Saccharomyces cerevisiae S288C: one gene and its partners. The gene in region 4 interacts genetically with the main gene of each other region. Each region holds a gene or a part of one and is shown on either strand. Other genes may lie near its edges.

The links.
Region 1: mutations in NUP170 (region 4) and APQ12 together harm fitness more than expected from each alone (negative genetic interaction), as found in Saccharomyces cerevisiae (4 studies listed by BioGRID, with this or other methods).
Region 2: mutations in NUP170 (region 4) and NUP2 together harm fitness more than expected from each alone (negative genetic interaction), as found in Saccharomyces cerevisiae (5 studies listed by BioGRID, with this or other methods).
Region 3: mutations in NUP170 (region 4) and POM152 are lethal when combined (synthetic lethality), as found in Saccharomyces cerevisiae (5 studies listed by BioGRID, with this or other methods).

Annotation. Positions count from the first base shown.
Region 1 is NC_001141.2:275,936-280,078, reverse strand, and holds APQ12 (Apq12p), read right to left. Parts: upstream 2,357-4,143; coding exon 1,940-2,356; downstream 1-1,939. Other genes in the region: TED1 (Ted1p), read right to left, coding at 232-1,653; GVP36 (Gvp36p), read right to left, coding at 2,574-3,554; protein kinase PKP1, read left to right, coding at 3,787-4,143. UniProt on the Saccharomyces cerevisiae protein: Involved in the regulation of lipid homeostasis in the endoplasmic reticulum, thereby impacting nuclear pore complex biogenesis and localization, and nucleocytoplasmic mRNA transport.
Region 2 is NC_001144.5:795,891-803,147, reverse strand, and holds NUP2 (nucleoporin NUP2), read right to left. Parts: upstream 5,719-7,257; coding exon 3,556-5,718; downstream 1-3,555. Other genes in the region: VRP1 (Vrp1p), read left to right, coding at 1-495; SGD1 (Sgd1p), read left to right, coding at 752-3,451; 40S ribosomal protein eS25 RPS25B, read left to right, coding at 7,249-7,257. UniProt on the Saccharomyces cerevisiae protein: Functions as a component of the nuclear pore complex (NPC).
Region 3 is NC_001145.3:524,615-534,177, reverse strand, and holds POM152 (Pom152p), read right to left. Parts: upstream 6,375-9,563; coding exon 2,361-6,374; downstream 1-2,360. Other genes in the region: ribosome biosynthesis protein RRB1, read left to right, coding at 1-1,015; DPI35 (Dpi35p), read right to left, coding at 1,151-2,059; ATP-dependent RNA helicase ECM16, read right to left, coding at 6,679-9,563. UniProt on the Saccharomyces cerevisiae protein: Functions as a component of the nuclear pore complex (NPC).
Region 4 is NC_001134.8:71,478-81,540, reverse strand, and holds NUP170 (Nup170p), read right to left. Parts: upstream 6,283-10,063; coding exon 1,774-6,282; downstream 1-1,773. Other genes in the region: isoleucine--tRNA ligase ILS1, read left to right, coding at 1-498; ubiquitin-like protein ATG8, read left to right, coding at 810-1,163; glutamyl-tRNA(Gln) amidotransferase subunit PET112, read left to right, coding at 6,846-8,471; YBL081W (uncharacterized protein), read right to left, coding at 8,569-9,675. UniProt on the Saccharomyces cerevisiae protein: Functions as a component of the nuclear pore complex (NPC).

The DNA of each region.
Region 1 (4,143 bases), on a different chromosome or scaffold from region 4:
TGGCAGTATAATTTGATTTTTAATTTGATTTTTAATTTTATTTATAGTTATTTTAAAGTAGTAAGTAAACATTTTACAATCTAAGGTATTATAATGATTATCTTGATGTGTGGAACCCCGATGTCAATGTTTATAAAACATAAGCAATTTGAAGAGCAGTATATGCATATATATACATACATTTAATATAAATCTCTATACAGGAGTTTTATCTTCTTTACTCTTTTTTGTTTAGACAAATAGTAGCGAGGACCAAGTGAATATGGTGACGAGCAGGGACACTTTAGCGAACCACCAAACATGTTGAATAGCGAATGGGCATAAACTGAAAGTCCACTCCCAAGTCATTGAATCTGTGTTGAAGTGTCCTGTAACCAAACCAGTATTCCCATTAAATTCACCCATCATAGACTTAACTGTGATTTCTTTAACGAAAACGTCACTTTCGATATTTTTAGTCGCTTCCCAAGTAGATGTAGATTTTTTATTATAAACTGTTTCACAGCCCTCATGGTCATGACCAGTTAATATGATACCTGGCTTCCCATTTTCAAATATCATATTCAAAACTTGATTTGAAACGGATTCACTCAAATGATTTTGGGATCTCAAAAGCCCAGATTTATATGATTCTGGGGCATGGGCATCTGGATAATACCTAGTGTCTGGGCCATCAACGCATAACCCTTCACGCTTGTAAAATGGAACATGCGTCAACAAAACAGTACTACCATTGAATTTACGTTCATTTAGTTGGTTTAAAAAGATCCAAGTAGCTTCAACAAATTCTGGTTGTAAAGCGGGACCTTCTAGTAAAAGATCATTCAACACTACAATTCTCCAAGGATGGGTAGTGTTGGTTTCGTATTCAATCCAATAGTTGTCCTTACCGAAAAGGTCGTGGAACCTTGTCATATGTTGATAAGTCGCGTCGCCTGAGTAACCTACATCATGATTACCTGTGATGTTGATGATTAAAAAGTCTTCCAAGTCTGGATTCCATGAGTGGATATTTTCATAACCAAACCCAAAAGAAAGTTCTTGATTATCAGCCTCGTTTTCCTTGACATTGTCTAAAATCTCATTAAAACGGTCTCCCCATTCAGGCCAATTCGCCTTATATTGACCTTTCTCATCGAGGTTCTGTTGTTTGATATTTTCAATAGAAGTTGGGTCTCTTTTGAAAATTCTGCTAATATACCTTTTCGTTCTATTATGGAATTCGGAATCACCGATCCATTGACTGGAGAAAAGATCACCCATAACAGTCACCACCTGAGGCTTCAGTCTCTGCTGCATCATATCATAGATGTGACCAAGATAGTAGTCATTACCGTATGTATCTAATCGGGACACATATGGCGTCTTTGGCCAGATGCCTTTAATCTGAGGATCACCGAAGGCCAAAATATGAATATCCTCATCGTTACCTGCAGAGGCATGGCTACCATGCCATTGCTCTCGAACATCACTGAAGTAATTCTTCACTTTGTCCACAAAAGTCAAATCTTTCTGTAGTGGTGCGTTCTTGTTAGAGCAGTTCCATGAACACTGTTCTGGATGGAAAGATGGATAAGTATAGATGTAAATATTAGCGACGATAGTGAGGAAGGTGGCAAAATATGCAAACTTCTTGACCGCACACCTGAGCATCTTGGGATTCTTGGTACAATGCTGCTGCTGTTGTTTTCAGTTCTTCAATCGCGACCGGATAAATCGCTTGTAATAACTTAGTTTGCAATTTTTCTTAAAACTTCAGAAATCAAGTCACAATTGTAATGAATAATTTGGAAAACACAAGTCACCAAAAATAGCTCAATATTTGATAGTGACTAGGGGAGGAATCTAGCAAAAAAAACGTTCTTTATCTATATGAATATTTAGAAATTAAGATATGTAATTACTTTAAGATGTTCCGAGTAAGCAGAGGCGTTTCGCTCTATTTAAGCAACTGTTCCATTTTCATCTGCGCCAAATGATAAACAGTGTTGATTTCTCTTTCCAGGGCATTAATAAACAGAGTATAAATTTTAAATGCGTAGTATCTATTTGACATGACGAAATTGTAGAAATTCAACAGGTCCACAGTCAAAAACTGCTGCGAACCACGCATATAAATACCGATACATGTTACTACCAACGTCAAATACAGGAATCTTTTGACCAGAGTAATGAAGTTCATCAACAACTTGTAAAAGACATAAAATGTGAAGAAAATAAACAATAGTTGGAAAACTAACGGGTGTGATTGGCTGAACTTAGTAATAGTAGGAATCAACCATTGGATGACGTCAATGGCAGACTTTAGGCATTGTGTTACTACGGATAGTTCGTATTGCGGTTGAGTAGCGTCCATTTTTGGGTTGCTCACTTTGCCCTTTGGTGACTGTTACGAAATTTTTTTCAGTAGCTTTTTCTCTTCCAGTAATTATATTTTCTCTACAAAAAATATACTCACTACAAAAGCCAGCAAATAAATGATAATATTCGTACGACACTAGAGAATATGATATTGTATTAAGTAAATATATATATATAGAGAAGGAGAGAGAAAGACAAGAACAGGGCGGCTATTAAGCGTCGTCTTCGTCATTCATAGAGATAGCTGTCTGTGGCTTTTCTTCTTCTGCAACCTCAGGCTTTGCTTCCGGCTCTTCCGCAAATGAGTTGGATAGGAACTCTTTCATTAGGCCAGCCGAGGTTTCAAAATACTCAGCTTGAGCCTTGGCCAATTCCTTCAAATCTTCACTGAAGTTAGCGTGAGAAATAACCTCCTGCAAGCACACAGTAGCGTCTTCAGTGACTTGAGCAAACTGGTCTTCCAAAGTCTCCATTTGGACTCTCAAGGAAGCTTCCTTTTCTGGCTTCTTGTTGTTTGCCAAGTTAGTTCTTGCCACGTCATATCTTAATCTCATGGAATGGACATCCTTGCGGCACTTATCGGCCTTACCGATCTCAAAAGAGAGCCTTTCCCTCAAATTTTTATTGAATTTGGTTTGAATCAAGGTATCTTGTTGAATTCTAGCTTGAGCAATCTTAGCCTGCACATCACTGAATTGCAAGAGTGCCGAAGCCAAGGGTTGTTCCTCGGTGGGGAACATCTTGTTCAAACATTCACTGGAGTTCAAAGCCACTTTACTGAGGGCGTAGTTCAACGTCTTGGGTTCTTTGATGGGGCCTGGAGCAACTAAGATGTTTTGTGCCTCAGACGCAGATGTAGCATGAGTCAACTCTGTCAACTTGGAAGCCACGCTTCTTGAAAACTCGTTGACGGATTCGTTGATGTATTTAGGGTAATCGTACGATCCGTTTTCGTAGATAGCAGTTACACCCAAGAAGTGGTTGTAAATCAGTTTGATGGTGTCAACCTTATCTTCCAGCTCTGTGTACTCTCTTGGCAATTGGGAGATGTCCGTCACCTGGCCCAAACGTTCCTGGACCATTCTTTGGGTGGATTGCGCCAAACTGGGCAATTCCTGGGTTTTTTCGGAAACACTTGTGGATATTTCCTGTAATTTCTTGCTCAAAGAGCTGGCGAAGGCATTAAACGACATTGATGACTATGATTTGTTGCTTATTCCACTCCTCTGCCTACAAATCATATAGGTTATAGGTGAAGAAGGTTGCAATTTTCTTGTTTTTGACATCCCGATTAATCCACCGCTCGCTTCTCACGGTAATAAGGGAAAATGTCTGCCAGTATGAAGCAAACAACATTAAACTGAGAACATTGGTGAGTCAAGACCATAACTGGAAGACGTGGTATCAAGACGCCTTCACGGTAGTATGTGGAAGATTATGCGTTCATGGAAATGTGGGGGAATGCGCTGGGCACATCGCCAGCGACCCTCACACGAGCTGCTGTCGCAACTGTCGTTCGACCAGCATTACAAGATTAGGTCGAACATTGAGCTGCTGATACAGGACTACGCTAGTAAACCAATTGCGCCCCTAAACTACGAGTATTTCCTGCAATACAGGCCGCCGCTGACCAAGAAGGAGGAGTACATGCTGACGATCAAGACAATCAACCTGTTGCTTTCATTGACGTGTAAACGGCTTAATGCCATTCAGAGGCTACCGTATAATGCGGTAATCAACCCTCATATTGAGAGAACCAACTCTTTGTATTTGAAAAGCTTG
Region 2 (7,257 bases), on a different chromosome or scaffold from region 4:
GTTGCAGCTGCTCCGCCATTGCCAACATTTAGTGCACCAAGTCTGCCTCAGCAATCCGTGTCTACATCAATACCATCACCTCCTCCTGTTGCGCCTACACTTTCCGTTCGTACCGAAACTGAATCAATTTCGAAGAACCCCACTAAGTCGCCACCCCCACCACCAAGTCCATCTACGATGGATACCGGTACCTCTAATAGCCCCAGTAAAAACCTTAAACAACGGTTATTTTCTACAGGTGGATCGACGCTGCAACACAAGCATAATACGCATACAAATCAACCAGATGTTGATGTAGGTAGGTATACGATAGGGGGATCGAATTCTATCGTTGGGGCCAAATCTGGAAATGAAAGAATTGTTATAGATGATTCAAGATTTAAATGGACTAATGTGTCACAAATGCCTAAGCCACGTCCCTTTCAAAATAAAACAAAACTGTATCCAAGTGGAAAGGGTAGTAGTGTGCCATTGGACTTAACATTATTTACGTGAGCATTTCTCCATGGTTACAATAAATCACTGAAGAACAAGAAAATAATAATATTTTATAAAAATATTTTACTAAATTACATATGGTATCTGCAATATTTATTTTTTAATCTTTTAGCTTCCCGTCCTTTTCGCTGTGAAAAATATAAAATCCAGCAAAAAAAAAAAAATGCGATGAGCTTACAAGACTACTGAACTTACTTACGAAGCCTCATCTTAACTAAAGATAGCCAGTCCACAGCTGCAGAATATTGAGGCAATGCAAAAAACAGATGGTATTAGAATTCCAGGCGTTATTTTGGACGAGTTGAAGACTCTTGACTACAGTCAAGATGAAAGGTTTTCTATTTCAGAAGGAAAAAAGAGAAGACGAGGAAATGGCAAACATTTAAGCCGTAAAGAAAAGAGAAAGATGGAACGGGCCGACAAGAAACGTAAAATTATATCAACTAGAGAAATCAATTCCAGCCGGCTAAAATCAGCACCAACGTCCGAAAAGAGGAGTGCTAATGCAGGTGTGAAAAACGTAGGCAAGCAGGCTAACGGTAAAAATCCGATTTCTTCAGATGAATCAGAAAGTAATGAAAACTGGGATAGTGACGAAGTGCTTACTGATGAAGTAGCAGAAGAAAGCGGTGAGCAGGCAATGTCTGCGGAAGAAACAATGAAAAAACTAGAATCATTGAAACGGAAAGCAAAGGGTATACAAGGAGCTGAAAACTCGGGAGAAATAAAAGGTAACTCATATGAAAAGAAACATATTCGTAACAGAGATACAAATGAGAATTTTGTGAGTTATCCGCTGGCCCCTTCAGACAGATCAGCGTTTGAAAGGGACGAGATGGACATGCAATATTACGCAAAAAAGTTGGGCTTGAAAGGAGAAAGGAAGGCTATACATGCAAAAGATGAATTTGATGCTATTGGTGGACTTCTTGAAGGTTTGGAATACTTTGAAAATTATGGCAAAAGTGACGAAGAGTATGGAGATTTTGCCACAGAAACTAATTCTATGAGAAAAGATGATGAAGCAAGCGAGAAAGCATTTTCCTCGGATGATGATCTTTCAGCTTCTGATTTTGAAGACTCAGATGGGCTTAGTGAATCTGATAACGACAGCGTTGCGGACTCGGATGATAATTATAGAAGAGAAAAGGAAAATCCCTATGTAGCTCCCACACAATCTGTAGAGAGCTATGTTCCCCCATCACTGAGAAAGAAATTGGATGATAGTGAAAACAATAGTACTTTGTCTGAAATTAGCAAGAAGGTCAACTCCTCTTTGAATAAGCTTTCAGACTCCAATATTACTATTATTATCACTGATTTAAACAGATTGTATGATTCCCTGCCTAGGCAGTACGTTACAGAATCGTTAACGAAAGGGATATTGAATATTATAAGCCAAAATCAGAAGTTGTTGGACGGATTTATAATGAATTATGCTGCTCTTGCGTATACATTATCAAAACTAAGAGGTATTGAGGTGGGTGCTTTTTTCATTCAAAAAACGGTAGAGGCATTTCTGCATCATTACGAAGAGGAAATGGAAAATATATTAAAGGATCAGCAGAGCAAAATTTCCTCTAAAATATGCATCAATATTGCAACCTTACTATCGTATTGTTATAATTTTGGATTTGTTTCGTGTCGCTTAATCTATGACATTATTCGAATATTTGTAGCAGATCCTAATGAATTCACTACTGAGTTACTTTTACGAATTATATCGATTTCAGGACAACTGATCCGGGGTGATGATCCATCCGCCCTGAGAGATATACGATCAGAACTGTTGAAGAACGCCAAGAATTTAAAAGAGCAGAGCCCAAGATTGAGATTTTTAATGGATACCATGTCTGACTTGAAAAACAACAGGTTAAAGCCTTCTATTTTGGCGACTGATCATCATCCATTAAAGAAAAACTTGCAAAGCATTTTGAATTCTTCTTCTTCTTGGGAGCCTTTACAGGTTTCTCTGGAAGACATTAAAAACATTGATTCCAAGGGGAAATGGTGGCTGGTTGGTGCTTCTTGGCGAGGAAACATGGAAAATGCTTTTGAAGTTTCGATCAATAATGAAAATGATGCCAGCAAGTCCAAGAAATCTAAAATTTCAATCGAGGATGATCTTCTTGATGATATTCCAGATTGGAATATTATCGCCAGACAACAGCGTATGAATACTGACATTCGAAGGGCTATATTTATAAGTATTATGTCTGCACAAGATTACCTGGATGCATTTAGTAAACTTGAAAAGTTAAGCTTGAAAAATAAGCAAGTTCTTGAAATTCCAAGAATTGTTTTACATTGTCTTTTGGCTGATAGTGGATCCAATGGTTATAATCATTACTACGCATTGGTCGCGAACAAAATATGTGAAAGGTATAGCCATTTATCGAAGTCGTTTCAATTCCTATTCTGGGATGTGATAAAAAAATTTGAAGACAAAGAATTCGATTCTGAAAGCGATACTGACGAAGAAGATGATTTAGATGATAAAGAAAAACTGCTTCGCATCTCAAATCAGGGGAGATTTTTTGGATCGTTGCTTGCTAATGACATTTTGAAATTAGATGTTTTCAAGCATGTTCCATTTATGGGTGGATTAAACACAGAAGGGATGTTATTTATGGAGATATTGCTATTTCAGTTATTTTTAACTGTAGCTAAAAAAAGTGAGAAGAAACTCAAGATGGATGAAAGTGGAAATAAGCGTATAATCTACTCCGATGATTATTTGCGCGATGTTTTAACGAAGAACGTTAAATCGGAAAATATGCTATTCATTCTCAAAGGTTTGAAGTGGTTTATTAACAAGAAATTTAGATACCATAATTTCCTTGCAGGAAAGAAAGGAGATAAAGCTTTTGATAGGGATGAAAGAAGATTGGCTTGGGCTTCAAAAGCTGCCAAATCTATTATAGACAAAGAACTGGAAAATATAGATTCGTAGTGTTTTTTGGAATAAATTTTGTATTCTTTATTTGCTCAACTATAACCTTGAGCTACAAAATATGAGGGTTCTATTCTATTTAAAATTGTTAACTGTATTTACTCTTATTTCATTTCTTTTTTAGCATCTTCAATAGCTTTCGTAAATGAGCGGCCTTCTTCCTTCTGCTTAAACTTGACGATATAAGTTACAAGTTTCCCATCAGCCGCAACAGTAGGAGCTTTAATGAGATTATCATTTCCGGGAGCTAAAGGCTCATATTTGAAGGAGTCTACAACAGTTGCATTTAGTAATACATTACCCATACCGTCAGACCTACAAAGTAGGCGCACTTTAGAAGGATCGTCCTTTTTCTTCAAAAGCTTCATTTCGCCTACGCCTCTTGAATCGTACGATTTGGTTTCAGCATTGAATGTCATTAATTTTGCTTTTTGCGAAAATAAAGCCACTTCGTCTTCCTCACCGTTTTGCAAGTTTATTGGCTTTGATTCTTCTGGGGTAGCATCTACTTTGGTTGCATCTTGCGACTCATTTCCAGTTGCTTCTGTTGTTGATTCTTCCTTGCTATCATTTGTAGTTGTTTGACTACCTTTTTGTTCAAATGGCAAAGAAAATTTGAACCCCGTCGATGGTATAGAGGGAGCAGGAGATGTTGAAGAATTAGCAGGCAAGTTTGCTGTTGTTTTTCCGAATGAGAAGGATGGAGTATTATTAGGCTGGGAGGTACCGAATGAAAAAGGTTTCTTAACATCCTCTTTATTGTCAGCGAGTGCAGAGGAGCCAAATGTAAAAGTTGGAGCTTTAGTATCCGCGGTTTTAGTAGTATTTGTATTTATTCCAAACGAAAAAGCAGGTTTTGTTGCTTCTTTCTTGTCATTTTCACCATCAACCGCAGAGGGTAAAGAGGGTTTGTCAGAGTCTTTGCTTTCACTTCCGTTTGATATGCCAAATGAAAAAGCTGGCTTTGAGTCCTTTTTACTTTCCTTCTCTTTCTCGGTACCAGCGTTAGATATTAAATTGAAGGCAGGCTTAGAGGAAGGTTTTTCAACGTTGTTGTTGTCATCTTCCTGACTAGCTTCTTTGGCCGATGGTGTTGCTGCACCAAACGAAAATACCGGTTTTGAAGTTTCGTTTTTGGAAGAGTTTGGGACCCCAAAACTAAAAGATGGCTTAGATGCATCAGGTGTATTCTTACTGGGTATGGAAAAGGAAAAAGATGGGTTTGAATCATTGCTATCACTAGACTTTTCAGGTTTTGAGTTAGAGGTTGAGTTTTCGTCATTTTTTTTTTCAATTGTTGTTGAACCAAACGTGAATGAGCTCTTTTCTAGCGATGGTTTTGCAGCTGCTTGACCAAATACAAAAGATGGTTTATTATTTTGAGAATCCGCAGCATGTTTTGTTCCAAAAGTGAAGGAAGCCTCGGCTTTACTGTTGTTGTCCACATTGGTCTTGGTAGCTTCTGTCAATGAAAGGGGATTTTTACTCTTCGTTTGTTCAGTAGTTGAAGTGGCCGAAGAAAATGAAAATGGTTTAGCATTAGTCTCGGTTTTCTTTTCATTTTTATCGGTGCTTGGATTCAGCTTAAATACATCACTTGATACAGTTCCAGAAAATTTAAATTCAGGGCCCTTGATTTCTATATCGTTTTCGCTATCACTTTCATCTTTCTTGCGATTTTCTTTTTTTGGGCCAAATGAGAAAACGGAATCTGAAATAGGCGGTTTAGCATCTATTGTGAACTTGGGTCCCTCCACCTTAACCTCATCTTCAGATGAAGAATCGGAACTTTTTTGGACATCTTCTACTTTGGCAGGTTTAGCATCATTTCCCTTTGTCTGCGTTGGATTCTCGATAGATTTCACGGGAGCTTCTAAGATATTCTTTATGTATAATTCGTACCTGGTGAAAAGGGGCCTCAAGTCCGCTAACGGCTTGCCTAGAACTAAGTCATCAACCTTAGCCTTGAACTGGAGGTTCAATGCTTTTAGTCTGGAATTGCTTTCTGTGGTAGGGCTATTATCAACCTGAGCTTCTCCAGTGCCGTCCGCCCGGTTCAGGAAGCTAAAGGAACTAGCCTGCTTGGTTTCATCCGATTTTGCAGAACCAAAAGGTTTGAACGCCATCCTGCGCTTTGGCATGGCAATTTTTCTTCTATTCATCACAGCAGATGACGCAACCTTAGTGGAGGGAGTCACGTCATCGTCAGACTCGTTAGAATCGTACGTTTCTCTCTGTATTTGCGCATCGGCAACTCTTTTGGCCATCTCGTTAATGATTTTTTTGAGTTACTTAACAAGGACTTGTATGAAAAATGATGTATGCTTTGTCAGGTTGAAAATTGTTTGCGCTTTCTTAAGCTCATTCGGTGGAAGCTTGTTTACCACACGATGCTTTAAAAAAATAGTTCTCATTTGAAGTCAAATCAAAAAAAATATTAAATATATCTCCGATACGGGGAGTCGAACCCCGGTCTCCACGGTGAAAGCGTGATGTGATAGCCGTTACACTATATCGGACGACAACTACGGAGGATATCGCATTTTATTTCATACCTTACCAAATGTTAGCATTATTCTCAAAAACGCTCATCTAGTGAGAATGTCACTGAGAAATGGATGGATAATTTGATAATTGCTGGGATTTTATTGTTGATCAAGGCTATGATATTCTGTATAGTTAATATACTAGAAGTTCTCCTCGAGGATATAGGAATCCTCAAATCCCTATTTTTACATAATGCTATTACGATTATTTCTTCTTCCGTCTTATATTTTTTATTGTCCTATTACATCATCAATCCTCGCATTTCAGCTTCCATTATATTTGATGACTGTTTCTCAATCTTTATGTTATCTTCTTACACCGTATGTGATGATATACTAATAACACGGATACTTAATAAACAGATGATGTTACAGTTTCATCCAATACGAACGATTATCAAATTATTGCAACATTTCCCAGTGAAATCTTCACCAAATGCTCATACAGCGTGACAATAATGAGCATTTTGAATTTTAAGGAAATTAATTTGTCTTCTATCTTTTGCATCCGTGCCTCCTGGATAATAACTTCAATCCTTGCACCACCATTGAACTTGTAACAGAGCTTTTTTTTTAACTTCTTGTCCTGGTACTGCATAATGAATAGCGCCAGAAGTTTCACGGATGTGCTACTGTTGGGAAGAGCCGCGAGTATGGAACTTCCTAAGCATCGCAAGTCAGGGGCCAGATGGGTAACCGGCAAAGACTAATTAGTATTGATGAAGTTACTTACCAATATATGTCATGAGAAGTGGCTTGTAAAATTTATTATTACAGTCACTCAGACAGAGCACTAAACTGAACTAGTTATTAAGGTATGTGCAGTTGATTCACGGGAAGAAGATATTTGAAAGAACCGAACCGATGCCAAAATCAAAGCCAAATCTGGGATTTGCCAAAAAAATTTTAGGATATAGAATAAAGATACGAAATATGAAAGGCGAGGAAAATTAGAATTAGTGGAGCAAATAATGAGCACAGGTCGCTAAGATCATTGTAACTCAGAATGACGTCAATCATAACTGGGTAATGAGATGTGCTATTGTATCTACTAAATCTATTAAACAGATCTTTATCATTCCAAGACCACCATACAGTTTAGTCTGCAGGCCATTTTGCTTTTGCTTTGACTTTTTTTTCTGAAAGATTCATTCATCAAAGGAACTAGAATATCTCTGCGTATTTTGTAATATAATTTTTGACACTAACATCAATTTTCACCCTTTCTTACGTCTCAGAACATAATATAACATGCCTCCA
Region 3 (9,563 bases), on a different chromosome or scaffold from region 4:
TTTAGCGAAAACACTTTTGAAAGACGATAATGAAGGTGAAGATGATGAAGAGGATGATGAAGATGATGTGGATCCAGTCATTGAGAATGAAAATATACCATTGAGAGATACAACCAATAGATTAAAGGTTTCTCCTTTTGCCATTTCTAATCAAGAGGTGTTAACCGCTACAATGAGCGAAAATGGTGATGTTTATATATACAATCTAGCTCCACAAAGCAAAGCTTTTTCCACACCAGGTTATCAGATTCCGAAGTCTGCTAAGCGTCCTATTCACACTGTAAAAAATCATGGGAATGTTGAAGGCTACGGGTTGGATTGGTCACCATTGATCAAGACTGGTGCGTTACTATCAGGTGATTGCTCAGGACAAATATATTTTACCCAAAGGCACACATCGAGATGGGTGACTGATAAACAACCATTTACTGTTTCAAACAATAAATCCATAGAAGATATCCAGTGGTCTCGCACTGAATCCACCGTTTTTGCAACCGCAGGATGTGATGGATATATAAGGATTTGGGACACAAGATCAAAAAAACATAAACCTGCTATCTCTGTTAAAGCTTCTAATACTGACGTAAATGTCATAAGTTGGAGTGATAAAATTGGTTACTTGCTAGCAAGCGGTGACGATAACGGTACATGGGGAGTATGGGATTTAAGACAGTTTACGCCAAGTAATGCTGACGCCGTCCAACCGGTTGCTCAATATGACTTCCATAAGGGAGCCATTACTTCCATTGCATTCAACCCATTAGATGAGTCTATCGTTGCGGTAGGCTCAGAAGATAATACTGTGACTTTGTGGGATTTGTCTGTAGAAGCTGACGATGAGGAAATTAAACAACAGGCCGCCGAAACAAAAGAGCTACAAGAAATTCCACCACAATTATTGTTTGTTCACTGGCAAAAGGAAGTTAAAGATGTCAAATGGCATAAGCAAATCCCAGGTTGTTTAGTAAGTACCGGTACTGACGGTTTGAACGTCTGGAAAACAATCAGTGTCTAAACTGTATAATACTTGGATCATATATTTACACATAGTAGATTATTAATAAACAAACCCATTCAAAGATATAGTAAATATTACTGGCGGATATGAATAATATCTATCATACATATTTGTTACTGTAACGTTAGGCGCTCAGGGAAAGAGTTCCTCTAAAACCTCAAGATTCGAAACAACGTACTTTCTTTCACTCAACTGTAACGTGTCAGTTTGCTTAGTATTGGCTTCCCAAGTGTTTATTGAATTATTATCTATTTTATCAATTGACAGCTTGTATTCGTCCCGCATTGGTTTACTAATCGAGTTTGAAAGAAACCCGTATTTATCATTTCTATCTAACAGTATACCAGTCCAACCGGCAGCTTCTGCCCCTTCGAGATCGTTCTTTAATTCATCTCCGATGTGAAAGCAATGCTGTAGAATTTCCTCCCTGGTGTACTTTTCGAGTAAATGAGGTTGTTTAGATATAATATCGTCAAGCGCATATTGAAATATTGCTCTATCAGGTTTGGCGAGATTAAGCTCATATGATAAATAAATGTGACCGGAAAATGTCTCAAATAATCCGATATTCTTTAATAATTTGTAAAAAATTGGATCAGTATTGCTTACTATTCCTAAGATAACATCAGGATGTCTTGACTTCAAATCCTTTAAAAATTTGATCAAATCTGGATAAACAAAATACGAATCGAAGCCCTCAAACCGCATTAATATTTCATTTATCATCTCATCGGGAATTTCGTTTGGTGCGAAGACGTTCCTAATCAAGATGGACCACCATTGTTCGGGCTTGATACCAGAATATTTTCCGTATTGGGGATAGTCTTCCTTCAGTTTTTTAAAAACGTGTGGAAAATTGTTTGTTAAAGTCGAAGGATTCGCCTTGATACCATATTTACGCCCAACAATGCAGTATTGTTCCATGACGGGAAGTTTTGTGGCGTATAGTGTATTATATGCGTCGAAAGTAATAATTAGTGGCCTTGCCACCCTATGAACTTCAGACCACGCATTTATAGGTATTCTTTTCGGATAGGTCATTGAGCCAATTTCTGTGGATGTTCAAAAGTCTGCTTTTAACACACCTCTATAGACCGTAAAGGACAAAGGTCTCAGCGCTCTCTTTTTCTATTCATTCACCTACACTCTTTCGAGTTACTATGAGCGAAGATAATTGAATCGAGCGTCTTGATAATTTTGAAGAAAAAGAACAACAAACAATACAGGCGTCTTTTTCGCTTTCTTAAGTATTTTAATACTGATGTACAGAGATATATTATACATTACAATTGTACAAAAATATTGCGGGAAAGAAAAATTTCATCAGACTTTCTTGTAATATTTAGTTATTGAAAAAAAGATCATTTTTGGCAAAACAATAAGCATCTGTAATTTCAATCGCCTCGTAGGTACCTTGCAAGCTTGTAATTACCTTGTATTCATGAGAATATATATCAGTGACTTTATGCGTCTCAACAACCTGCGACCTCCTTTTGCCGTGTTTTCCATCAGTCTCTTCTGTCCTTACATAAGTTAGTGAGAATGGTGGGGTACCTTCAAACGAAAAGATTACTTCAGCCTGGTCACCTTCGCGGATATCCTCAGTAACGTAATTTCCTTGAGAAACAGTTACGGAAGGAATAGGATGTATGTTTAAAGATAAGTCATCAAATTCACTCTTTAATTTAGGGTTCGTAAAGTCGACAATGCATTGTGATGATGAATCCTGTAAAGAAGTGATAGATATAATGCCCGGTTCAGATGCTAATCTAACAAATTGGGAGCTGCGTTCCTTAGATTTTAGTGGAATACCGTTGAATTCATACTTAATCATGAAAGGTGCCACACCGTTTAATTGATATGCAACATAGTCCCCAACACAATACTCGGTAGAAGGATCTAATATATGTATCTTTGGTGCATCAGTAATTGACACAAGAATTTGATTACGCGGTCCAGATATGAGGCTGTTAACACAACCATTTGCGTCAACAACAGAATCAATAGTAATGGCATGGTTACCTAACTTCATCCCTTCATATAACTTTTCAAATGAAAAGTTCTCTGAGTCAATGTTGTCAATGGTATACTGATCTGTCCTACTGGTACTCTCGTGATAAACGCTAAAGGTGATTGAAAATGGGCTTTCGCCTTGTAAAAATTTCAAATTTATTGGTTCCAAAAATGAGATTTGATCTACATTAGCAGCACATGCACGCAAGGTTTTACCACCATCAGCAAAGGCGACGTCTGGAATGGGGTGCACTGTCTGTTTGATTATGAGCTCCGACTGATGTTCTCTAAAATGTATGTCGCTTTCACCATAATTGCCATCGAAGATGGCCTTAATAGTAGTTATGTACTCTCCAGGAATTTGATTAGGCAGTTTCAGTGAAGCGTATTTGGTTGCCACCTGAATTTTTTTTGTAGAAATATGACCGTTGGGTGCCATCAAATCATATTCTAATATGAATGGTGGAGAACCAAATAGAGCCAAATCAACCGTACCTTCCATCCCTTGACAGACTTCTTCTTTAGAGAATAAATTTTCCGTTACTTTTGTAATGTGATGATTGTCTTGAATTGCAAATTTTGGCTTCTCCAAGAAAGATACCTTATACAGACTGTTCCGGTAAATCACATTACCTTGGCAACTTGAGTCACGAATATCGACCAATTGGTAAAGCCCTTCTTTACTTACTTTCAAAGCGGGCTTATAACTATTCTGAAATTTGTTTTCAAATTCTTTCACAATGTTTCCATCGTAATCCATGTGTTTAAACTTAACGGTGAATGGCCCCTCTCCACTTAATTTGAGCGGAATTTCAGTGACAGAACCGTGCTTAATTTTAGCTTCTTTGATAGGTTCAAAAAAATTGAATGCAGCAGATGGAATATCTCTCCTCACCTGTATTTTAGCATCTGGTTGGCTGAGTCCAACTACACAGCCGGTAGAATCCTTGATAGAAACCAAAGATAGAATATAATCACCACCAGTAGTAAAGACTGGTGTTTTAATGACATATTCGTTGGTTTTTATTTCTTTAATTTCAAAAGTTTTCCTCTTGCTAGAAAAAGTTTCAATGATATCATATGTTAACGTAAAAGGGCCTTGGCCTTTTAGTGCTACTGGGACACTGCTGTGGTCACCCAAACAGAGTTTCAAATCATGGTGTAATTTTAGTGATGCGCTTGGTTTCACCCTCATTGATGTCTTGAAAGTATATTCTTTTACAGGTTCCAATTTGATTGGTTCAGTGAATAATTTATTAGAAACAGTATCAAACACGATTTCATAGTTACCTTCTTTAGGTGGACTATAGCTGAAGCGATTTCTCGTACCTTCAGAGGTGTATCTCTTTGCATCATATAACTTTCTTTCACCGTTTTCAAGCTTATAGATTTTAGTGTTATAATAGTATGGTGGAGCCCCAGTAAAAGATAGTTCAAAGTTTAGACCAACCTGTCCCACACACTGGTCCAATATTGGAAATGATTTAACTTCCATAGTAGGTGCAACTGGCATAGTTACAAGAACGTTTGATTTACCCACAATTTCACCTGGACAAAACTTAGATTCAATATATTCTAAGTTATATGACCCCGGAAGATCCGCTTGCAACACTTTGGTCAAAGAATCTGTAGTAACATTCATTATCTTTTTCGACTTGTCTTGTGCATCAGTATAGGATAGGCTAATAACATATGGAATGTCTGAAATCCAGTTTTTGATTTCTTCAAACACGATGGCAATAGACCTTTTTGTGGGTGACTTTGGATCAAATCTTTCTTCTAGCGCTGCACGTGGAACCTCATGAACATTGAAATTATAAGATAGATCATAGCGCTTTTTTAATTCTTCAGGGAGAGATGTAAAATCCACGACATTTCCCAGACCATCAGTTATTTTATCAATTTTATATGCAAATTTGCCGTCCTGGGTAATGGAAGAGTCTAAATTAATATTAACAGGTTGGTTTCTTCCCCATTTCAAATCGTTTAGTTCTCCTTGAGTAAAACTTTGTTTGGATTTGCTTGACTGCAAAGGAGACTCAAAATATTCTGGTTGCAAGCTGGAGTCTACATATGAAAAAGTTTGACCATTAACGATCTTAGAGTATGCTAATTTCATTGGGGGCACACCTTGAATTTCAAAAGAAACATTATCTGAATCGCCAATACATCTATCATTGCTTCCAGTTCCAGTAATAGATGCAATTGGACAGTAGGGTACAACCAAGTGTGACTGATGGATCTTTAAATTCAGTTTTTTTGAATCAACAATTTTTTTGATTTGATAAAAGCCAATATCTTGAAGAGTTACAGCCAAATAACGAATTGTACTGCCTTCTTCAAAATCGTTTGAATGTGACTTTAGAACTGACTGATCTTTTTTTAAAAAGGATTTGGGGTTATCGATGATTTTGAAGTCTTTCTTACTCAAAGACCGTAACTCTACCGAATTTGTGTAAAGATCTCTATATTCCAACTCGATATATTCAATCTCTTCAGTTGAGTTTATTCTGATGGGTACGTCAATTGAGTTAATTTTAAAAAGATTGGTATCCATGGGCAAACAATATGATTCATGAAGAGGATTAAACATAGCTGTGTTTTCAGGTAGGATCTTGATTGTTAGAGCACCCTTAAAATGAGCGGAAGAATCAAAAATACGATGATGGTTAATGGCTGAACCTGTTACACTTAATTCTTTCGTATAAAGTTTTCTCCATGTGGTCATAATTAATGAAATCAAAACGAACTCGTGATCGCTTGATATGAAAATGTTCAATAGTAGCATAGCTAAAATCTGGAGATAAACAACCCATGGCTTAAAAGTCAACCTAGGAATGTTAAAGGATGGTAAAACATACAGGAAGAAGGAATCTATAATGAAATACTTGGATATGAAATTAAATCGATAGTTCTTAAACAGTAAACCCGAAAGCGGTAACCCCGATTTAAGTATTACCAGGTCATATATTTTATAACATTGAATTATTAAAAACAATATCACCGCAAATGTCCTTTGTTTGGAAATTTCTAAAACATCGGTTGATATTAGAGGCAGTGAATAAATGTCTACCTTTTTATCACCATTAATGTAGCGGTCTTTGCTGTCACGTTCAGATATCCTTGATTTTTCATCGCTTATGTTACTTTCAGTACTTTTAAAGCTCCTCGAGCGTAAAGGTCGGATTTTCTCAGCGGGCTCATCGTCACTATATTGGAAGCGTCGTGTTGTGTTTACATTAGGACGACTGCTATAAGATGGACGTGGTGATCCTGACACAGAACTGCCCATCCAATGGTTCCCTCGTGGAGTATCATTAAACACGTTATATCTGTGCTCCATTATACAAGCCTCCTGATAAACGTATCTGGTATGATAAATCTATAATCCGTTTTGAATTGGTTCGATGAGTTTCCTCTTATTATGTCTTAAGCAATTCTTACTTTTGTTCAATAAAAAAAACGTATAAAGTTATTGACTACGTATATAATGACATAAAATACATAGTGCTATAGAACATAATGTTTTGAATTATGAAGGAAGTTAACATTAAGTGGTTGCAATTATTTGATGCCCTAGATAGGAATAATGTATTCTTCCTATATGTTCTTATATAATGAAACTCTATTTCTATAATACCAGCGCATTATTTTTTTTCTTTCTCTTCACCTGTGATGGTCTGGAAGCCCTTTCTGGTGATAAACTTAATGACTGTCCACTGGCCTTTTTGCTTCTTCTGATGCACTGCTATAGGATTTAAATCCCAACCAATCTTGAGATCGTTGTCAACTGTGGATCCAAATCTAGGAACCACATAACAATACCGTTCCGTAGGTGATAAATTAACGGTCTTCAAGCCTTGACCAGTCAGAGGTTTACTGTATGTCAAAAGAAGTCCCTTTCTTGCTATGTTCGCTAAGGGGGTGCTTGCGATGTCACATAAAGTATTCATCCTTGTTTTATTATTTCCACCAAGGTGCAAGGAATAATAGAGCATGTATTTGGGTGGCATTTCCCCCAAATTATTTAAAATTGAAGTCGGATGGATATAGACAAAGCAGTCCTCGATATTTGGTGTTCTCGTGGCCAAAACAGGAATATAAGGAATGTTGATTATGGAAGTTCTGTTGGTTATCTTAGCATCATCTGGAAATAAAACATCTGCTCTTACGGCAACATGGTCGACAAAACCAGCGCAAATCATTTGTTTTAAAAGTTTTATTTGTATGACGCTTGGAATATCACTTTTCAAGTCTTCATTCCTAATTACTACGGCAATATTTTCTTTTGAAGTGTTGGACTTGATGATATACATTAACTGCTTCCTCAATTTTACTATTTCTTCCATTAGTTTGCCTCTTAAAAAATTTTTCTTCATGAATATTTCTTTTTGTTCCTTTGGAACGTAGTCCATTGCACTTACAACACTTAATAAACGGAATACGTCACTAAATTTGTCTAATTTACTAAACTGACTCCTGCTTTTATAGAATTTACTGCGCAATTCCTTTTTCAGTTCAGGATCCATACCTGGTGTTGATTCATCGTGCTCTCTAATCTTATCATCTAGATTTTCATCTGGATTTGGTTTTCTAGAAATTTCGTTTATTCCCAACTCAAATTCATTGATAAAAGGATCTCCCACCGAAAGGGCACTAACAATTGCTACAATATAAGGAAGGCAGGCTTTTTCGTCAGAAACAAGTAACATTTTGGAAAATCTGGGTGAAAGTGGGAACAGGCTCATTTTTTTACCATCTTCAGTAATCATCTCCTTATTATCAAGAGCACCTAAATATTGCAGTAATTGTATTGCCTTGGAAAGGGCAACTCTATCTGGAGGAGTTGGAAATGGAAAATTAATGATATTATGAATGGCCATGCTCTTCATTTGTAACACGATGCTCTCCACTGGCATTCTTAAGATTTCAGGTTTAGAGAACTGTTCGAAATCATGTTCAAAAACAGCAGACGAATATAAACGGTAACAATGGCCTGGTCCAGTACGACCTGCTCTACCGCTTCTTTGATTGGCACTAGCTTTACTTACCCAGCCCACTTCAAAACTCTGTACGCCATTTGATTCATTATATTTACGCTCTTTAGACCTCCCGGAATCAACAACATATCTAACTCCAGGTATAGTTAACGATGTTTCTGCAACATTTGTTGCAACAATACAAAGCCTAGAACCTTGAGGAGGTTTTTGAAAGACTCTCATTTGTTCCTTGGTTGGTAATAGAGAATACAGTGGAAGGACATATAAAGGATCGTTAGCTGTTTGCCCTTCAGTTAGGACTTCTTCAAACCCTTCTTCCTCTTCGTCTTCCTCATCTTCACCGTTTCCACTGTTACCTTCATCTTCTTCGTATCTTATCGCGCTCTTGAACTTATCTTGATCGATAACTTGTACACTGAAGTCTATATCCTCAGCCTCCAAATCTGTTGTTTTTGAATTGATACCCATTTTAGAAACGGGTGTTTCTAAATCTTTGTTGTACTTGGAGTTTTTCTTAAAAGGAAATTCCTTTCTTAGCCTTTTTACCATGTGTGTAATTTCCTGCTGACCGGTTAAAAACACCAATATAGCGCCAGGAGGAAGTTTCTGGTGAATTTTGCAAGTCTTTCTGAAAGCCTCGTCTGTATAGTTGAATGCAGTTCTACGATTAAAGTGAATAGAGACTGGAAACTGCCTTGCATCAACCTGTAAGACAGGGGGCGCTATGGGGAACAATGTTTTGTTTTCGCTGAAATCTGATACCCTTAATGTAGCTGACATGATGATGAGTTTTAGCTTCTTGTGCTCGATCGGGTTCTCCTTATGTAGTTTAGCTCTTAACCGAACACAACGGCTAAGCATACCGATCAAAATATCAGTGTTAATGTTTCTTTCATGTGCTTCATCTATGATAATGGAGGAATATTTAGTCAACTTGAAATCGTGCATCATTTCTCGTAGCAAGACACCATCTGTCATAAACTTGACCTTTGTGTCCTCCTTTGCGGTAGAGTCAAACCTAATTTGGTATCCTACTTTATGACCATGGTCCCCCAATTCATTAGCTACACGTTCAGCCATGGACACAGCGGCCACTCTTCTTGGTTGAGTGATACCCACCATTCCTGGGTAATCTGGAGAATCTTCGGCACCAAACCCAGCCTCATATAAAAATTGTGGGACTTGTGTAGTCTTACCTGACCCCGTTTCACCACAAATAATCACTACATCATTATGGTGAATAGCCTCCATAATTTTGTGTTCTTCACCAAATACTGGTAGTTGAATTCTTGCTTTCTGAATTTCATCTGATCTGCTAACTTCAACATAGAAGGCTTTACGGGTGGAATTCTCGTTTATTGGAACATAAGCTTCTTGGAGACCATCATCTAAATCTTCCTTTCTAATTATCGGTTTATAATCGATGTTCAAAGTGGGAGTAACTAGCTCTTGATCTCTACCTTCCAATTTTTTTATTTCTTGATTGGCCCAATCCTTGAATTCGTTAGCAACATCATTTTGGTCAAATTTTT
Region 4 (10,063 bases):
AAAAAAGACGCAAAGAAGGTTAAAGATGCCCTACCATCAGTCACTTCTGAGCAAGTACGGGAATATTTGGAAAGCGGAAAGTTGGAGGTTGCCGGTATTGAACTGGTTAAAGGAGATTTGAATGCTATTAGAGGCTTGCCAGAATCTGCTGTCCAAGCTGGACAAGAAACCAGAACCGACCAAGACGTGTTAATCATCATGGATACAAATATTTACTCTGAACTAAAGAGTGAAGGTCTCGCAAGAGAGCTGGTCAACAGAATCCAAAAATTGAGAAAGAAGTGTGGTTTGGAAGCCACCGACGATGTTTTAGTGGAGTACGAATTAGTTAAAGATACTATCGACTTTGAAGCCATTGTCAAAGAACATTTTGATATGTTAAGCAAGACCTGTAGATCCGACATTGCCAAATATGACGGCTCAAAGACAGACCCAATTGGTGATGAAGAACAATCTATTAATGACACCATTTTCAAATTAAAAGTGTTCAAATTATGAAAACAACTCATATAAATACGTACAAATTTTTCTCTACTCGAAGTGATATAGATGTATATGTGTAAGTTTACGTTTAAGTTAGAGTCATGTAATGCTAACTGTCTCCACCGATAATGTTGTATAATACCCGTGAAATCATAGCACATGATATATCATCACCCGGAGGCCGGTTATTTTCGGCGGCGGCAAAAATATTTGGTATAATTATGGAAATACAAAAAGGGGAACCATTAAAGGTTGAGGAGGGGATTGATAAGAGAATCTAATAATTGTAAAGTTGAGAAAATCATAATAAAATAATTACTAGAGACATGAAGTCTACATTTAAGTCTGAATATCCATTTGAAAAAAGGAAGGCGGAGTCGGAGAGGATTGCTGACAGGTTCAAGAATAGGATACCTGTGATTTGCGAAAAAGCTGAAAAGTCAGATATTCCAGAGATTGATAAGCGTAAATATCTAGTTCCTGCTGACCTTACCGTAGGGCAATTTGTTTATGTTATAAGAAAGAGAATTATGCTACCCCCTGAGAAGGCCATCTTCATTTTTGTCAATGATACTTTGCCACCTACTGCGGCGTTGATGTCTGCCATATATCAAGAACACAAGGATAAGGACGGGTTTTTGTATGTCACTTACTCAGGAGAAAATACATTTGGCAGGTAGTCTTTTATATGAAAAGAAATGAAGCGTTAACATCTAAAATCGAAATTATAGGGACTCATTAGCCATCTATTGTTCCAGTATAAGAATGTTTACATAAAAAATTCGAAAAAAAAAGATAAAATAAGGGAAAAATATATATATATTCATTAAGAAGTTTTGTACACAACGGAGCCAAGATTTCACCAGTATTTGGAGACAAATGTGAGCACGTTATGGTATTTACTTACAGATTACGATCTGTTCAATGCATCAGAAATAGGAAGAAATTCAAAATAAAATAAAAAAAATATTAGGAAGGAGTGAAAAAGCAAATAAGATGATACAGTAAGGTGGAGTTAATGTCTTTCTTCTCCAAAATGTATTCTTGCTAACCAAAAATCTGATTCTCTCTGACCTGTTCGTTTGTCTTATGTATGTAGAATCAATTTCTTACAGAATTTTAAATACTGTATAGTGGAAAAGAATAATAAATAAATACTCGACTATATTTACCTTTATCTTAAGGAAAAGTTCACTCGATATTCTTAACTTTACCGTCTAGTAAGGCCTCTTTATTACATTAAAATATACACGTACATTACCCTGCTATCTATATGTCGAACATGAATTTTTATTCTTTGTAGAAACAAATCCCCAAATTATTGCCGCTGTTCTTAACGTACTTTTCAATTGGATCATTATCAATTTTGTATTCCTTCAAGTGAATGATATCGTTGTAGGAAATAATGTCCCTAAATTTCCTGTCCGATTTGTACCATTCGTGAATTAACCAGGTCATTTCTTTATTAAATACGGAATTATCGGAATCTGATGTCTCGATTAGTTCTTTTAAAATATAGTACATTTTGTTGAAAGAAACACCCGCTGTTATGAATATAGAAACTATCGACCCTGATACAATATGTTCCTTAGGTAGTGTTTCGTAGAAAAAATTACAGACAATGGGAAAGAGTTCGAAAATGGGGAAAATGAATTCAGAATCCTGAACATTTTTACCAATTTTAATCAGTACATTAGACAGTAAGTTGATGAAGTTCATTGAATCTTCTTTCTTTCCGGTATTATTAAATTCCATCCTCAAAGATTGGAATAGCTCATCCCACTTGGCCATAATTACTTCATGGTCCCTAAAATCTGCTATCTTGAAAATGAATAGGGCAATTTCATGGTAACTTAAGGGTACAGCAAAATCATTAAACAGCTCACTTGTGCTCAATATTTTACCATCTAGAGTTTTGATCAGCTCATCTTTAATGGCTGAATCTATTCTTGCGTCTGTATACACGAGCGACAATATATCACCTTGAATACCAGCAACTTCACATGCATCTTGGATCCTACTAGCTAATTGTACAATTCTTTGTTTCTGGCTTAATGGTGACACACTGTTGCAAAAACCATTGGCGCGTGAAAGAAACTCAATTCTTTCAAACAATGTGATGTCAAAATTCGATGTAGCTAAACGGTAAAGAATTTCAGCAGATTCGAAAAATTTAGATCTTCTTGAATAATAGACCCAGAGTATATTAGATATCTTCAATGAACTACCTGCCTTTTCCATTAAATAAGGGAGTATGAATGGAGTTTCAATATCTAATAGTTTTTCCTCTCTGTTCTGAGACACAAGCCAATCATACATATGATAGTGGAATAATCTATCGTTATATTTTAGGGCGGCTTCATAACTTTTTTGTCTCAGTTTCACTTCATCGTCATTCGATATCGAAATTTGGTTTTGAGTTTTTGATGACTGTTTTTTTTCGGCAAGTTCGTCTACTTTTATTAAAGTATCAAAAACTAGGTCATAAACTAAGATACGTTTGTCGTAATATTGTTTCCTATCATCATTTTCTAAAAATCCATTTGCCACATATTGACAAGCTAGTTTGCCTTTGTCCATAGAGTTGGCAATATTCAATAAGAATTCAATAGATTTTGGGTAATAATTTACACTCAGCATCATTGATACAGCTTCTTTCAATTTCTCGATAGAAAGATCATCCACAATTTGTTCAAGTAAAGCAGTAGCATTTTTCAGGTGATAGTTTAGAGAATCATAGTTACGCAAGCCAATTTCTTTAGCCCTTCTAAGATGTTCAATGGCTCTAAATCCTAATATATCACTTGCAGAGCAGAATGATCCACAGCGTTCTTGTAAAGCTGTTGCGGTATACTCTATCGACGCACCTTTGGTGATATTCCTATTGATGATGGATAATAAAATTTCTCTAATTAATGATTTTGTTTTGTCATTTGGAGCAAATAAATCTTTAAAATCTAGTTTGACTAAATCTTTTTGGACGTCCAAGCTTACAAAACTGATTATATCCTTGAAACCAAGGTATTGGTTGTCGAATCCTTCGACTTCGCTTTCCTCGTATAAAACGTTCAAGAATGATAGACCTTCCTTTATGGACTGTACCATTTTGATCATCGCATTAATCGCTATACTTTCCGCTTGGTTTGCAACTTCTTCTGTTTTATCAATAACCCTGCCGTTAGAATTGTTCGCTAATACGTAGGGAGCTGATATTTGGGAAATTGAATCACCATAAGTGATGAAAAATTCATTTAAAATGTTAATTGAAGATAGATAGTACTCGATACAATCCTTGGAAATAGAAACCTTTGATATTATGTTCCTATTTTGTGAAATTTCATCACTTTTTAGGTTATTAATAGATGGAGTGATTGGATCAGAAGAAGAAATGAAAGCATGGGATGTCACCCTATTATCTGTAAAAGTCATGAAGACATGTCTCCCCCAAATATCTCGAAGTAGTCTGGTAATCAATAATGCAATACCGTAAAATCTGGGGGATAATATTACGTCATCTAAGTCAAAATCTTCCTTGTTTGCAGGGGAGGGTTTACTAAAGCCAGTTATTGATTGTTGGAGATTAGTTGTTGCGGTTGATAAAGTGGGCTTTGACAATAAAGAGGATACTGTAGATACAGAATAACGGTTGTAGACAGGTTTGATGTCAACAACGCCAGGAATACCCATAGTTAAAAAAGTCAGGGCATTAGATCTTAATTTTTCAGATTTATTTGATTTGCAAGTAACAAACAATGCAGTGGAACAAGCTTCCGCGGCACCATAATTTAAGACGAATGGCAGCGGATTATCGATTAGATCCTCAAAAATTTCATCAGGAGTACGATATTTATAAATTTCGATAGAAGTGCTCGTCAAAACTGCTACCCTTAAAGTTTCTGATGTGTACTGTGTCGCAAATTCGTTAGCAAATCCTTGTGGCTTTGTCGTTGCATTAAACAACCCCGATAAGGGAATAATTTGTTGAACTGGGCCCGCAGTTTCCAAAAACGTGGCATTTTCAACGTACTTACCGTGTGTTTTCAAGATACCATAATCTGGAACACTAACGAAAAGCTTATGTTGTAAAGTAACTGGCTGTTGTTTGACAGTTTTAGACCCTGCGGTAGCGGTCGTTCCAGTAACAGATGAGTTCTCTTTTTTTTCTTGTTGATGAGTTTGCTGAGATGACTTGATCACAGCGGAAAAAAATATGCCTGGGGAAATAATTGTACTTGCTTTTGTAGTCTCTAGTAATACAGATGATTTCTTTTGGAATTTTAAGAGGACTGGTTCGGAAGACATTAGATTTGAAAAGAAAGGAAAGCTTCTCTTCGCCTGTTCCTGTTGTTGATGTAGTAATTCTTGTTGGATGACTTCAGGAGTTACAGAACTAGGGGGGAACTTGATCGATTCTAACCTCAAAGCTTCGATGTTAAATCTGCCCATGGAACCATTAAAGTACAAACGCACACCACCTACTGTTAAAGCAACTAAAAACAAATTGTTGTTTTCTTCTGGTGCAACAGAGCTTATCTTGACAATTTTTAGGTATTTGGGGCCCAAAATCGGTGCTGCCCTTGCCGTCGTGGTACCTATGATCCTACTGATGTAGGCAGGCTCAATTGACATGGGTCCTTCCAGTGATTTTTCTGTTATTACGTATGCTCTAATGGTGGATTTGGAGGATAATGAATAGATGATTCCTCTTTGTTGGTCAATAGTTAGTTGCGTGATGGTCTCTTGAGAAAATCCGCCATTACCGTTAGAATTATCTTCGAACAAAGCCTGAATAAAATCAACACCTGGAATCTGCGATAACATGTTAGTAGGTAGAAGACTTAATAGGGCAGACTTTGTCAGACAGACCTTACTACATTTACTATTGAACCAGTCATCGGAACCTGAGTAGTGCAACTCCCAGATATTCAGGCCACTGGCTTGGCCTGCGAAGAAAATTCTACCCGATCTTTCATGAGACACAATGTCTATTACATCAATGCCTTGTACAGGGACTGATAGATGTGTATTGAATACACTGAGTTCGTTGGTGGCTTTGTCTAAGGAAATAGCAAACATGAAAAGCTCCATTGTCGTGCTTATCAAAAGTAGATGCTTCACGGCAGGCACAAAGGTGTTTGGCTTAGGTCTTACCAAGGCGACTTTTTGAATGGTATGCTTCATATCATCTACCACCTGATACTCATTGTCATTGTTAATATTCCAGAGTATCAGTTTATTATCAATAGTTATCCAACATCGATTTAACTCCGGGAAAATACCCATATCAGTTTTTGTCTGTGAAGTGGAAAATTCATGCAAAATCTCGTCCGGAATGTTGAACACATCTTGCTTTTCAAATGGAGTAAACGCTCCTAAGCCGTTTTTTTCTCTGCTGAAGTTATAATCTACCCCGCTGTTATAATAAGATCGTTCGTCGAGTACGGGAGTGTTACTATCTTTATGTTGTAGATGGTCAATGTACTTTCCCGCTAAGTCCAGGGGCTTAGAAGTCCCCATCCCGGAAACACGAATGTGCTCATTCATGTTGGACATATTAGGATTGATGCTGCCAGAGGTCGCCCCCATTGCGCTTGCCCTCATGAGTGGGTTGGACCCGGTAATTGGATATGAGTTTAATATGTGTGTAGGTTGTTGTTGCGCCTTGGTTGCAGATGAGGCCAACTCATTCAGTCCATTCCTGGGTACTTCTTGATGATTCGTTAAAGGGTACGATCTGCTATCTGAAAACGTTTCACCGGCAGCAGCGGGCCCATTGTTGTGGAAAAAACTTTGAAACATGAACAACCGCTAGAAAGAGAAGTAATAAACGCACTCTGCTTTTTTGTCCGCTTGTCAGATCCTAGGTTCCAGTAATTCTCCGAAAGAACTGTTCACTAATATGTTCAGAATTCTACAATATTAATGTCCCATCTCGAAAAATTGTTTTTTTTTTTACAAATAAAGTAACAATCCTTCGTGCAACACGATATAGAGTACATTGAAAGCGTGTCACAAAGAACACATCCATAATCATGGTCCATTGCAAACATTTCAAAGTAAAGAAGAGGATATTTGGGTCTTAGAATCTCATTGGAAACAATCCTCGTTTACTAGAGACGTTAATTCCACTTTCAAAAGCCCTGAAAGATTAACTTTCTGATTTTAGGTTTATTATTTTTTTGTTGTATGCCCTTGTTAAAAATTTAAATAACCCTTGTTTAGATAGGGTTTAGTTTTCCCTTTTGTTATGATAATAGTAGTTATAGTAGTAATAAGCTTGACGTGATGTACTTAGTCGTACCACCTAGTAATAGTGTTATTGTTAGCATTCCTGTCCAAAAAGACCAGAGTAGGAACTAGATATGTTGCGGCTTGCACGTTTTTATTCTTTGGCCAGAACCAAAGCCATACATAGTCACGGTGCACCCTTCAGGCCGGAATATGCATTGAAGTGTGGATTGGAGATTCATACGCAATTGAACACCAAAAACAAGCTTTTTTCACAATCAACGAATAGCGCCACATCTCTAGTGGATGCACCAAACCATCATACTAGTTATTATGACATAGCTCTACCGGGAACGCAGCCGGTTTTGAATCTGGAAGCAATCTTGTTTGCCATGAAACTATCCTTGGCACTGGGTTCTCAAGTGAATAGCATATCTCAGTTTGATAGGAAGCATTATTTTTATGGAGATCAACCTCAAGGCTATCAACTGACGCAGCACTACAGGCCGTTTGCTCGGGGTGGGAAGATCAATCTGTCGAAGGAATTGGATGATATCGATGAATCAGCCAAGGAAATCGGTATCTTACAGTTGCAGATAGAGCAGGACACGGGGAAGTCACACTATACAGAGACAGATAAAGACGTTATTACTTTGGTTGATTTAAATAGGTCGAACGTCCCGCTTATCGAATTGGTAACTAAACCAGATTTCAGTGATATTAAACAGGTTAGAGCGTTTATTAAAAAATATCAGAATTTGGTACGTCATTTGCACATTTCCTCTGGGGACCTGGAAACGGGCGCCATGCGAGTGGACGTTAACCTCTCAATTAATGAATATGCACGCGTTGAGTTGAAGAATTTACCCAATACTAGTTCCATCATCAATGCAATCAAGTACGAATATCAGCGGCAAGTTGAGTTGATTTCTGTGGGTGACACTAGCTCACTGATGGAGCCAGAAACAAGGGGCTGGACAGGCTCATCAACGGTGAAGTTGAGAAGCAAAGAAACCACGATCGATTACAGGTACATGCCTGATCCAGAATTGCCGTATATCAACCTCGCACCAGACGTTATCAGTGGTGTGAGAGGGTTGATGCCCCAATTACCGGACGATATAATGAGAATTCTTATGAAGAAACCCTATCAATTATCATTGAAGGACGCCAAGATTCTGACTTATAATAGTAACCAAAACGATATGTACAATCATGAGGCGTTGAGATCGTACTACTTAGACACCTTCCGTGAATTTTCCAAGCTTGCTGGTGAACGTAGTAACGCGAAATTACCTACGAATTGGATAATCCATGAATTCTTGGGAGATTTGAACAAGCTACAAATTCCATTGGCCAAAGCAAAAGAAATTTTGCCTCCTCCGGTTTTCGCCCAGTTTTTGAAGTTATTGCATGAAGAGGTTATATCCGCAACTAGTGGTAAAATGTTACTGTTTCACATATTGGAAAATTTCGAGCAGAGTAACTGCCAAGATTTGTCTATTCCAGATTTTTCAAAACTAATCGAGAAATTTGAATTGCATGCGATTAATCAGGTCGACCCTCAAGAATTGATGGATCTCTGTAATGATGTCATTGCACAGCACACAGATGACACTTTTATACGGAACCTGGTTACTGGTAAAAAGAAGTCCTCTTTAAAATTCCTAATTGGACAAGGAATGAGACGAAGCCAGGGACGTATAAAGGCAAACGAATTCGAGAAAAAATTCAAAGAGATCTTAAATATTCAATGGTAAAATATAAACGCCGCGTGTAAATAGGAACCGTGCATAAATAATAACAATAATAGTAATACTAATGATAATAATATACATAAAAATATACGTAAACATCTCAACTCCAAACGCTCATGTCAGTATTCCAAATGCCAAAGGGTCTTGATGATGCTGGTTGAGAGGATGAAGATACGTTCATGTGGTTAGACCCCCATCCTAAAGAAGAATCATTCATCAAGAGTGATGCGGACGAAGACATGTTCACTGGTGCCGTCGAAAAATCCTCCCTTTGCGATGGGGATGGTGAATGTTGCGGTGGGTTTATGTTGGTGCCAATAGAGCTAGATGTGGTGGAGGACATGAGCAGGGTTTGGCTTGCTGGTAGGAAAGATACAGTTGGTGGAGAATGTAGATCCGAGATAAGCGAACTGGACGTGGGGCCCACGGGTAAATCATTGATTAAATCGGCGGATGTCGATGTTGCAGTGGTTGGGTTGGTGTGCATAGAGTTGTTTGATGATGACGACGATAAATTTGTGGAAGCTGCCGAAGTTGACGGCAAAATGTATTCGAAGGTGCTTTGGTTGTATGGAGAGGATGAGTTAGAAGTGGAAGAAGTCAACGAGGGAGAGGAGTTCGAGTTGAAGTACCTCGTGGAGAACTGCGTCTGGTTGTAAAGATTGTTGTTGTTGTTGCTGTTGTTGTTGTTGTTGTTGTTGTTGTTGCTGTTGTTGTTGTTGTTGTGAGCATTGACGTTGCTATTGTAGTACAGTTGAGGGTACGTTTGCTTCAGATGTGCAGTAACCATTGGATTGGACGTATACTGGGGATATTGCTTGTATTTTTGCTGGTTCAAATTATTGTTAGCGCTAAATCTGTGGTGTTTCTTTTGGGTATTCATATATGGTACGTCATTAGCTCTGTTCTGGTTGTAAGCCCCGTACGGGGCCGATGGAATAGATCTGTTAATGGATTGTAGACCAGCTTGGTTATGTGGGTTTACACTGCTGTTATTGTTGTTGTTGTAATAGTAATAGCTACCAGTGTTGTTGTATTTCATGTGATTGTAATGGGGGTGGTAGTTCGACTGGTGGGAGGGCGCATTGTGAGACTGGAAGGAATTACTGGACTGATGAAGGAGCTTCAAACTGCGGTACTCCAACAAGTATTTATCCATGTCCTCGTTCTGCGACAAAAACGGAATGCTGATTATCTGGCCTGGCATATATACGATGTCTTAGTGAAATAGAGCCAAAAAAAAAAAAGAAAATTATTACAAAAAACCGAAACCCAAATGATAAATAATAATAGTAACAAATAATAATAATGGAAATCAAAAAAGTCGTATCAAATATTAAGCGAAGGATGGAAGGTACCTCTTGTTCTAGGTGCCACGATGCAGAAAAAAAGATCAGGAAAAACGAATGGGAAAAAGAGAAAAAGCTGGAAACGGGATTCTCTTTTTTCTATGCTGCTTTTGCTTTGCACTATTGGATAGTGTCTGTAGTATCTAAACTGATTGCCTATCTCTTCTGTGCTGGCATCTTATTCGATGTATATAGTTCTTAATATCTAGTGAAAAATTTTTGACAAATTTCTCGAGACCTGAATCT